Macaca fascicularis: one gene and its partner. The protein of the gene in region 2 binds, or shares a complex with, the protein of the main gene of each other region. Links are inferred from orthologs where the notes say so. Each region holds a gene or a part of one and is shown on either strand. Other genes may lie near its edges.

What was found. Proteins that work in one complex are often made in the same cells at the same time.
Region 1: the proteins of BBS4 (region 2) and BBIP1 are in contact, whole or in part, in a cryo-EM structure (PDB 6VBV), measured with the Bos taurus proteins. The link is inferred for Macaca fascicularis from reciprocal best matches to the Homo sapiens genes BBS4 and BBIP1. Residues at the interface, in NP_001069424.1 of Bos taurus: Leu210, Leu213, Tyr236, Leu240, Ala241, Ser244, Gln247, Thr248, Ser269, Pro271, Asn274, Asn275, Met278, Phe281, Gly282, Lys284, Tyr298, Leu299, Pro301, Leu302, Asp303, Trp304, Lys305, Ile306, Tyr308, Asn309, Leu312, Leu315, Thr316, Gln318; in XP_003587939.1 of Bos taurus: Met7, Phe8, Arg9, Glu10, Val11, Leu12, Pro13, Lys14, Gln15, Gly16, Gln17, Leu18, Tyr19, Val20, Glu21, Asp22, Leu28, Lys30, Pro31.

The regions. Positions count from the first base shown.
Region 1 is NC_088383.1:120,004,653-120,009,487, forward strand, and holds the start of BBIP1 (BBSome-interacting protein 1), read right to left. Parts: upstream 3,088-4,835; 5' UTR 2,731-3,087; intron 2,572-2,730; exon of another isoform or gene 2,411-2,571; intron 2,089-2,410; 5' UTR 2,033-2,088; coding exon 1,996-2,032; intron 1,849-1,995; exon of another isoform or gene 1,678-1,848; intron 1,599-1,677; exon of another isoform or gene 1,406-1,598; intron 837-1,405; exon of another isoform or gene 773-836; intron 1-772. Other genes in the region: uncharacterized protein, read left to right, coding at 3,533-3,556, 3,650-4,044, 4,485-4,523.
Region 2 is NC_088381.1:49,571,424-49,576,238, reverse strand, and holds the start of BBS4 (BBSome complex member BBS4), read right to left. Parts: upstream 3,055-4,815; 5' UTR 2,827-3,054; coding exon 2,701-2,826; intron 2,263-2,700; exon of another isoform or gene 2,242-2,262; coding exon of another isoform or gene 2,218-2,241; exon of another isoform or gene 1,955-2,217; coding exon of another isoform or gene 1,907-1,954; intron 1-1,906.

The DNA.
Region 1 (4,835 bases), on a different chromosome or scaffold from region 2:
ATCTTAATTGGTATATTATTTTGCCTCACTTAAATCTGGAGTATTCCCACACAAGCAAATTCCCTTCTACCCAAAGGAAGCAACTAATGGAACGCATTACGTAATTTTCAATATGATGGCTAAAAACATTCTATACCAATCTAAGAGATTCTGTCCTCCCAGAGCATTTTCTTCCGCTCCCTTATGTGCAGTTTTTTCCTTTCACTTATCTTTCATAATCAAATATAAGTCTAGGCTAGGAGTATATGAGGTTGGCAGTCTTGAGAATTTTCCTTTTGTGATTATGAAGTAAATTCCACAAACACTTATCTATCCATTAGACAGAGGATGTATCTAATGTACTAAGTATAATCTTGATTTTGTAATTTTTAATAGGCTCTGCTTAATGCTACCAAAAAGCTATCACAAAAACACCAGGACCAATTAAGACTTGCATGAGAATTTCAGTGAGAAAAATAACAATGCCTAAATTGGAATGTGACCAGATGGCCAACAGTTGCCTTGGTATTTGCTTTGATAACATCAAGATTCATCTGTATTTGAATAGCAGGGCCCACACATCTTCCAACAATGTCTGCAGGGTGCCAGGAGTTGAAACTCATAAACTATGCTGACATCAGTACACTTTACTGCAGAAATACATTGCATCAGCTCCAAGAATAGGCAAAGTAGCAGCAACACTTTATTAAAGGTAGTCAGTCTATGTTGCCAACCCAAGGCACTAACACATACTCTATACACACATGATTAAATGCTACCCTCCTCTTTGTAGGACACCGGAGAGGGGTAAGCAGGCTGAGAAGTGAGATGGATTTAACCAGCAAATCATGGAAAAGGTGCGTATACTTGGCGTTTGAGAAGGCTTAGTCATGACTGGAAAAGTATGAACACTGTGACATATCCTTGCAAAAAAAAAAAATGTTCAACTTAAGCCTCTAGACTAATTTCTGGTTTACAAGAAGAAAAAAGGGGGGCCCATTTCCAAAAAGACTCCTGGCTTGAACTCTTCAAAATGCCAATATCACAGGGGGAAAAAGATGGGGGAACTCCACTACATTAAAGCTGAAGAAAAATTTTGACTGGATCCTGATTTCTTTTTTTTGCAAGAATGGGAAGGAGAAGGTATAAAGGATATTCCTGGGTAAATTAGGAAAATTAGCACTTGGGCTAGATTTTAAACATTACAAAACAGCTGTAATAATGATATTGTGTTTTGCTAGAGAACTTCAAAATTCTCAGGAAATTCATGCTCAAAGTCTTAAGGGTGTCTGCCTAACAATAAGTGTCTGCAACTTTTTACAACAATGAAAAAATGAGGAGGAATGAAAAAAATATGGCAAAATGTTAACTGCTGCATCTAGATGACGGGTATATGAATATTCATTAAATTATTTAATTCTTTCAGCTTTTAAATATATGAACACTTTCATAATAAAACATTGGGGAAAAAAATCATGTCAGAAAGACTTCACAGGGGAAACGTCAAAAAAGGCTGAGTAGCAGGCGCTCAGTTGAATTTCTGATAAATTGAAGATCTCTAAAACTTGGCTGGAACTGTCTTGGGCATCCAAGAGACACCCGAGATATTCAAACTTTCAGTAAGTATTTACCAAAATAATATCATGTGCAGGGTGAAAATGACAGGAAGACGAATCTGATACAAACCATTCTATTTAGGTGCAGACATGGTAGTGAAGTTAAAAACATAAGCGGCTATTATATATATATAACATACTGATTGTCATAAAAGACGTGCAAAAAATGCTAAACTCAGAGGAATTACTTTCTGCTGGGGAGAATCTGGAAACACATCTCCGCGAATAACAGAATCAGACAGAATCACAAAAGGTGAGTGCTACAACAGATTTCAGTAATTAACCGCCAAGAAACAAGAGTAGTTCATTTTGGCTGGCGTGTAAGTACCAGGGAAGTAGAAATTAAGTCGAGAAGGTAGGTTTTGTTGACTGGCTGGATATTAACAATTTTCAATTTTACCTGAAAGTTCTGGTCTTTTTGCTGCAGCTTTAAGCATCCAACCCGGTATTACCAAGATGACTGAGAGTTCTTGACTCAAGCATACAGAAGAAACTACAAGATAATGTATGATAACTTTGTAAAGGGCCATATTAAAGCAATACAGCATTTTCAAAAATATTCAACACGTTAAGAATCTGTAGACCTGCAGGATTAGGATAGTATATCCCACCACAAGAACCGCAGTCAAAGCTTACAAAGGACAAACGCGGAAAGGGGGGAAAACTCAGAATGAGAAGGCAGGTGGCAGGGGAAAAAGATAGAGGTCTTGCCCTGATTGTAGGGGCTCATCTTTTTCTTTTATAGCTGAAGGTGGAAAATTATTTTCTCAAGTTCCCGAATTCTCTTCCCTCTAAAGGCCAGAGAGTGAAAGTACTTAATAGGAACTTGCGGAGGCGTGGTCAGGAGCTCCATTTTGCCGGAGTTAGGAGCTCCGCCCGAGGTCCGCGCCCATTCCCCGCTGGGGCCCTCCCAGCCAGCCTGGCTCTGGCTGGGCTAGGGCGGCCTGTAGCGCTGCCTCACCCCACAGGGAGCCTCAGGGGGGCGGAGGGAGGGCGGGCCGCCGCTAGGCCAGCCCGGAAAGAAAAGCAGCTTCTAACGGAAGGGGCCCTGAGCCCCGCTCTCCATTTCAGCGCTCCGTCCCACAGGGACCGTCCGGCTCGGGTCCGGCCCACTTGTTGGGGCCCAGGGACTCACCTCACTTTGCAACTGAGGTCAAGAATGGGCATTCCCTAGGGCACGGGCGGCGAGGCTATTTACCCCCTTACCCCCTTCCGCCATGACCCTATTCGGAAGTGCCAAATGCAACTTCCGGGCAGGAGAGGGATTTTCGGAGCCCTAAACTATAGTCCATCTACGTATGTGACCAGATGTCTCAGTAAAATAAGGGCCGGGAAACTGGACGTGTAGTCCAGAGTATGAATTAACTTGTCTAACATGGGATGTCTGGTCACCCACGGTACCTCTTTGGGCTTACTTACAGATGCATCCCTTCCCAGACTGCTCAGCTGTTGCCCCGGGTAACGGTGAGACTGGCGAAGGAAAAAAATCTACGTCACCCTGGAAACAGGAAGCCAGGAAACTCCTGTTGCCATTATCAGTTATGGCCGCCTTAGCTTCAACAGTAACTTCCGATCGGAGAGTTGTCACTCTACCCTGCAGGAGGCTTACTCTGTAGCCCGGCTAGCCAGCGGCGCCCAGTGGGCGGGAGACGGCGTAGAGGAACTGAGGAAAGGAAAAGGGCGGAGAGAGAGAGAAGCAGGCGCCACTGCCCTTCTCTGATTGGGCAGCTTCGCTTGCCCCGGCTCCGCCCATTTTTCTTGCCTAGCGAGTGACGGGCCCACGCCGGAGGGGTGGGGCGGGGAGGCTGGAGCGAGAGTAGTGGAGGGGCGGGTGGGGCGGGGCGAGTGGGGGAGGGGCGGGCGGGGGGCGGCGGTTGGGCAGCGTCGCTTCTTAGGAGGAGGAGGAGGAAGAGGAGGAAGCAGGGCGAGCGAGGAGGATGGCGGAGTCGGGGCTCCTGACGGTAACCCGGGGCCGATGAGGCGGAGGGTGTCTGTTGGTCGGTTCTTCCTGCCTGCCTTCCTGTCCGTCGGGCTGTCGGGCTGGCTGTCGGTAGGGGGAGGCCCCGCGCGCCCTGACAGGCGCGAGCCGGCAACGCCGGGGCGAGGCCCGAGGGGCCGGGGCCCTGGGAGGCGCCGCCGCCGCCGCCGCTTTCCTGGGTGCTGTCTCCGGGAGTGCGGGGCCCTCGGAGCCTGCTCGCGTGGGAGCCCGCAGCTCGGCGCGGAGAGGAAGGCGGTCGGGTCTGACAGCGGCCGGGGCCGGGCCTGCGGCGGCGGCGGGCGGCCAGGACAGCGCCTGGGCGAGGGCGAGCCGGCGCGAGGGCGCGGGCCGGGGGCGCCCGGCGGACAGTCTCGCTCTTCTCGGTTCCCGGGGGCCCCGGGCCCAGTCCGCAGGGCGCCCAAGTCGTGTAAATCGTTGGCGAGGGCCCGGGCGCAGCGGCGGTCATACAGGGTGGGGTCTCTTCGCGCCCCCTCCCTAGAGCCCACCTTGCTTTCCCGTTCTCCTCTCCCTGAAAACCCTTTGAGTGAAGAGTGCTGGATCGGCTCTGGGTGTGTTGCCTGGCGAAGCGAGTTGTAGCCCTTCGAGACCGCCTCGTAGAACATGCCGGATGGCAACCTCTCCCCGTGATAGCACAGCTTTTAGGGAGAGAGGAAAAGTAGTCTCACTCTCCCCCGACTCCCCCAGGCTTATAACACAAGAGGCTTCGGGGCAAGACGATTTTTTCCCCCAGCCCCTCAATATCCATTGTTTTTGTACCATCCCCCTCCCCCCATGCCTAGGTGGAAGAGTAATGACTCCAAAGCATTAATTTGCCTTTCTTTCTCTTTATTTCTTTTCTTTCTTTTTCCTCTTTCTTTGTTTTTCTCTTCTTCCCTCCTTTCTTTCAGCAGGCAGTTTGTGTTATTGTGGAATTATGGATTTACAAACAGGTGGGATAACTACCGATTCGGGAGCTAGAAAGAAGATGCTTTGTGTGTGTGTTTAAGCCCTTATAGTTGGCTGTTTAATTTTCTTGTCTGTTGCTTTGTATCGTAATGGGGGTGATGAGAATAAAAGAGGAAGCACTGTTTTGCAACCTACCCAAAGAAATATTTTCGAAGTCTCTGGGGATGCTGAAGCAAAATTAGGTTGCAAATGTGGACTGTATAGTATTTGCCTCCAGCGTGGTAACTACCAGCAGTGTCTAGGCTTACACCTGTGTCATTTCGTATACTTTTCGTCGATACCGAGTGCGTCTAGTT
Region 2 (4,815 bases):
GGCTCACGCCTGGAATCCCAACACTTTGGGAGGCCGAGGCGGGCAGATCACGAGGTCGGGAGTTCCAGACCAGCCTGGCCAACATGGTGAAACCCCGTCTCTGCACAAATACAAAAATTAGCTGGGCGTGCTGGTGAGGGCCTGTAATCCCAGCTACTCGGGAGGCTGAGGCAGAAAAATCGCTTGAACCCCGGAGGCGGAAGTTCCACTGAGCCGAGATCCCACGACTGCACTCCAGCCAGGGCGACAGATTGAGACTCCGTCTCCAAAAAAAATAAATAAATAAAAATATAAATAAAAGACCACTTTTCCAAAAAGGGCAGAAATTCAAATTTCCATGCATTGCTAACTTGAAAAGATGAAAATTACTATAAACATAACACTAGCAATAAATCTGACAACAATGAAAATAGTTAACTTCAGGCTTAATTGCTAAAGTCACATCAAAACAAAAACTATTCTCTTTAAAACAGTATTAGACATTCAAATGTACAGGACAATTCTGCCCTCACAGACTCAAGTTCATATTCTGTTACACAAACACCTGTGATGAGCACTAAAGGATAAGCTGTACTTGTAGCAATGTTATGTTACCCGTTATCTTTTACACTTTAAGATTGTGGAGAAGTATTTTCTTTCCTATGTTTTTAATATTTAAAACCCAGTAACATTAACCATGCTATTTTTTATTTTTTTTCAGACGGAGTCTCGCTCTTGTTGCCCAGGCTGCAGTGAAATGGCACGATCTCGGCTCACTGCAACCTCTGCCCCCTGGGTTCAAGCGATTCTCCTGCCTCAGCCTCCCTACCAGCTGGGATTACGAGCGCCTGCCACCATTTCCAGCTAATTTTTTGTATTTTTTTAGTAGAGACGGGGTTTCACTACGTTGCCCAGGCGGGTCTCCAACTCCTGACCTCAGGCGATCCACCCACCTCAGCCTCCCAAGGTGCTGGAATTGCAGGCATGAGCCACCACGCCTGGTCTATTTAATTATTTTAAAATCTTTGGGTTTTTTGGGGTGGGGGGGGACGAAGTCTGTCTGTGTCGCCCAGGCTAGAGTGCAGTGGCGTGGTCTCGGCTCACTGCAACCTCCGCCTCCGGGGTTAAAGTGATCCTCCTGCCTCAGCCTTCCGGGTACCTGGGATTACAGGCGTGATGCACCGCGTCCGGCCCAGTTATTTTAAATTTCTTAGCTTAATAAAAATGTTTCGGCCGAGCGTGGTGGCAGGCGCCTGTATTCTCAGCTAATCGGGAGGCGGAGGTTGCAGTGAGCCGAGATAGCGCCATTGCACTCCAGCCCGGGACCACAACAGCGACACTCCGTCTCAAAAAAAAAAAAAGTTTGTCTTCAGAGTTTTCTAATTAGACTAGAATAATATGACAACTCTGCAAATGAGAGTAGAAAACAAACAAAAGGCCCTCTAGCAATAACACTAACCTTGCTGCTTAGCCAAAACTAAGTTGTAAAACAGTCAAAGGCTGCTATCGTACTGTTTTCCAAGGGGTTTTTCGACAGACAATAAATTCCGAATACCTAAAATCATTCTAACAAATGCACAGAACAGGCTTTCAAACCCAACACTAAAGCAAGGTAAACAAATCTTCATACTTGGCACTTCACCGAAATTAGATCCAATTATGGATATATGCCTCAAAAAAACAGCGACTAGCTCATCCTGAATTCATCGGGTTCCTCTCTATTAGCAGTTCTGTGGAGTTAACGCCCAACTCAGCCTTCAGCTGAATTCCAAAACCGTACTTTCCTAAACTTAATCACCACAGAAAAAACATAGCCCTGCTCCACTGGCAGGAGGCAGTGACGCTGCAAGCTTCCAGGCTGTCGTTCATGTTAAATTCCCAATTCACGGGATTAACAGAAACTGTCTACACAACTGCTAGTTATTACCTTCCAAACCCCGAGAGAAAAAAAAGATGGGACTAGGGTAAGAGCCATTACAGGTAAGAAGTCTCCCTTCTCCGTCCAGGGCACGCCAAGAGGGACCACAGTCCTAGAACAGGACCTGTGCTGCTAAGTATCCAGACTTGCCCCAGGCGACCAGTTCCCGGGACAGTAGGAAGGGAACCGTGTCGCCCCGCCCACCCCGAGCCGCTCGGCACCCAGCTCCGCCTCTCTCCAGGAACCGCTGCATGGGACAGAGGCCACCCGCCAGCCTGCCTTGCCCTGGCCGGGCAACTAAAGAGAATCTCGGCGCTCACCGTCGCAACTCTCTCCTCAGCCATCTTGGCTCAGCCCACCACTGCGCGACCGGAAGTCGGCGGTTTCCCAGACAACGAGGCAAGCGGAAGTTGTAGGACTGTGGAGGACGCTGAGGAGCAGGGGAAGGAAGTAAATAGCCGAGTGACCTAAGGAATCGGGGGAGAGTTAGGGTCTGCTCCACAGAAGGCTTACCGCTGAAAGAGTAGGGGAGGGAATGCGCAGCCACTCGCTGCCTTTATCCCGAGAAGCCCCTAACCCCTCTTGTCGTGGTCTGTACATGGTGTGTACCTCCGGCAGCGCTGGCTGGATAGGCCAGCCACCTGGGATGTCAGCCTGTTTCCCCCGCCACCTGGCCGTGCCCTGACTCTAATCTGCATTTAATTCAGTCCTCCTTCCGGGACCCTAGGGCGGAGAATCTCATTCTTGCCTTTGGTACGAAACTCCCCGTTTCTTGGCTATCCCTATGGAATTGAGGTACTCACCTTATCAGCTTCCCACTCTTGTTTACTCCAGAATTTGCAAACACGCTCCCGGTGGGCTCCGTTTGAGCAGCAGTCTTTTGATCGGAAATACTTAAAAGTTAGGAGATTTCGCAAGAAATCGGCCATGGGATAAAGAGACGACAGTCGGCCTGCGTTTCTGCAAGGCAGTGAAATCGATCTGAATGGCGGCTGCGACTGTAGATAAACATTTCTTGGCCTTTTTACCACAGTCTTCCCTTCCTAGCATACTTCAGGCGTTTTCCAGTGCCTGTCTGGCCCCAGGTGCGGTGAATTAAATGTTTAGTGTTTCTAAACCAGGAAAACGTGTGGGCTTTGGAATCAAACATGAGTTCTGGATTTGATTACTGCATGACCTAAGCCCGTCGTTTCTTTGAGCCTCATTTATTAAAGTGCCGGGAGCTGTGTGATGAACAAAACAGAGGATCGCTGCACCTGAGCACTGACTTTAGTCCCAATTCATACTTTTAAGTATCGCCCTTGTAATGTAGACATAAAATCTGCGTCTCCCAATTCGTGAATTGGGAAAGCATTTAAGACAAGTTTCTCCAGGCCTTTAAGAGAAGGAGAGCCCCACTGACTAATAATTACAGTTACGTAGAAGAAACAAGTACGGTAATCTATCCAAACACAAGGGGGAAAGACAGCAATAAAATGACAGCTCTTCTAAGTATTTCAGTAACACTCTCTTAATCTTTATAACAATCCCATGAGACTCTTAGTCTCCCACTTTTTTCAGATAAATACTCTGCTTTTCATTTATTTAAAAAATTTTTTTTGCAGTTTGGCCAGCATGGCGAAACCCCGTCTCTACTAAAAATACAAAAAATTAGTCGGGCATGGTAGTGGGCACCTGTAATCACAGCTACTCGGGAGGAGGCTGAGTCAGGAGAATCACTTGAACCCAGGAGGCAGAGGTTGCAGTGAGCCGAGATCGCACTACAGCTCTCCAGCCTGAGCTATAGAAGGAGACTACGTCTAAAAAAAAATAAAAATAAGAAAAATAAATTGCTGGGCTCAGTGGCTCACGCCTGTAATCCCAGGACTTTGGAAGGCTGAGGTGAGCACATCACCTGAGGTCAGGAGTTCGAGACCAGCCTGGCCAACATGGTGTAACCCCGTCTGTACTAAAAATACAAAAAATTAGCCAGGCGTGGTGGCTGGCTCCTGTAATCCCAGCTACTCGGGAGGCTGAGGCAGGAGAAGTGCTTGAATCCAAGAGGCAGAGGTTGCGGTGAGCCGAGATCGTGCCATTGTACTCCAGCCTGGGCAACAAGAGAAAAACTCTGTCTCAAAAATTTTTTTTCAGAGACAGGGTTCTCACTATGATGTCCAGACTGGACTTGAACTCCTAGGCTCAAGCAATCCTCCTGAGGCAGAAAAATAGGGTCTGGAGGCAGGGAACATAAGGCTGATTCACACTTCAGCTGTTACAGGAAATATTGTGTCCATAGGGCATTGGTCGTAAATGTCTTTGTAACTTTGCTTCATCTCCATTAACATAAGGCATACCCGAAGTAACCGTGGAATCCTCTGGGGGTATTTAAACTCCCCAAAATTCTGTAACAGAGCCCTTGAACTTCCAAGCTCAGGCCCACTGCCACACTGTGGAGTGTACTTTCTTTTTTTTTTTTTTTTTTTTTTTTTTTTTGAGACGGAGTCTCGCTGTGTCACCCAGGCTGGAGTGCAGTGGCCCGATCTCGGCTCACTGCAAGCTCCGCCTCCCGGGTTTACGCCATTCTCCTGCCTCAGCCTCGGAGTAGCTGGGACTACAGGCGCCCCCCACCACGCCCGGCTAGTTTTTTGTATTTTTAGTAGAGACGGGGTTTCACCATGTTAGCCAGGATGGTCTCAATCTCCTGACTTCGTGATCCACCCGCCTCGGCCTCCCAAAGTACTGGGATTACAGGCTTGAGCCACCGCGCCCGGCCTAGTACTTTCATGTTTAATAAATTCCTTTGTCCCTTCCTTGCTTTGTTTGTGCATTTTGTCCAACTCTTTTTTCAAGACACCAATAATCTGGACACTCTCCACCTTTAACACTTCCATCTCATCCTCTCAAGTAGGTAGGATTACAGGCACCAGTCACCATGCCTG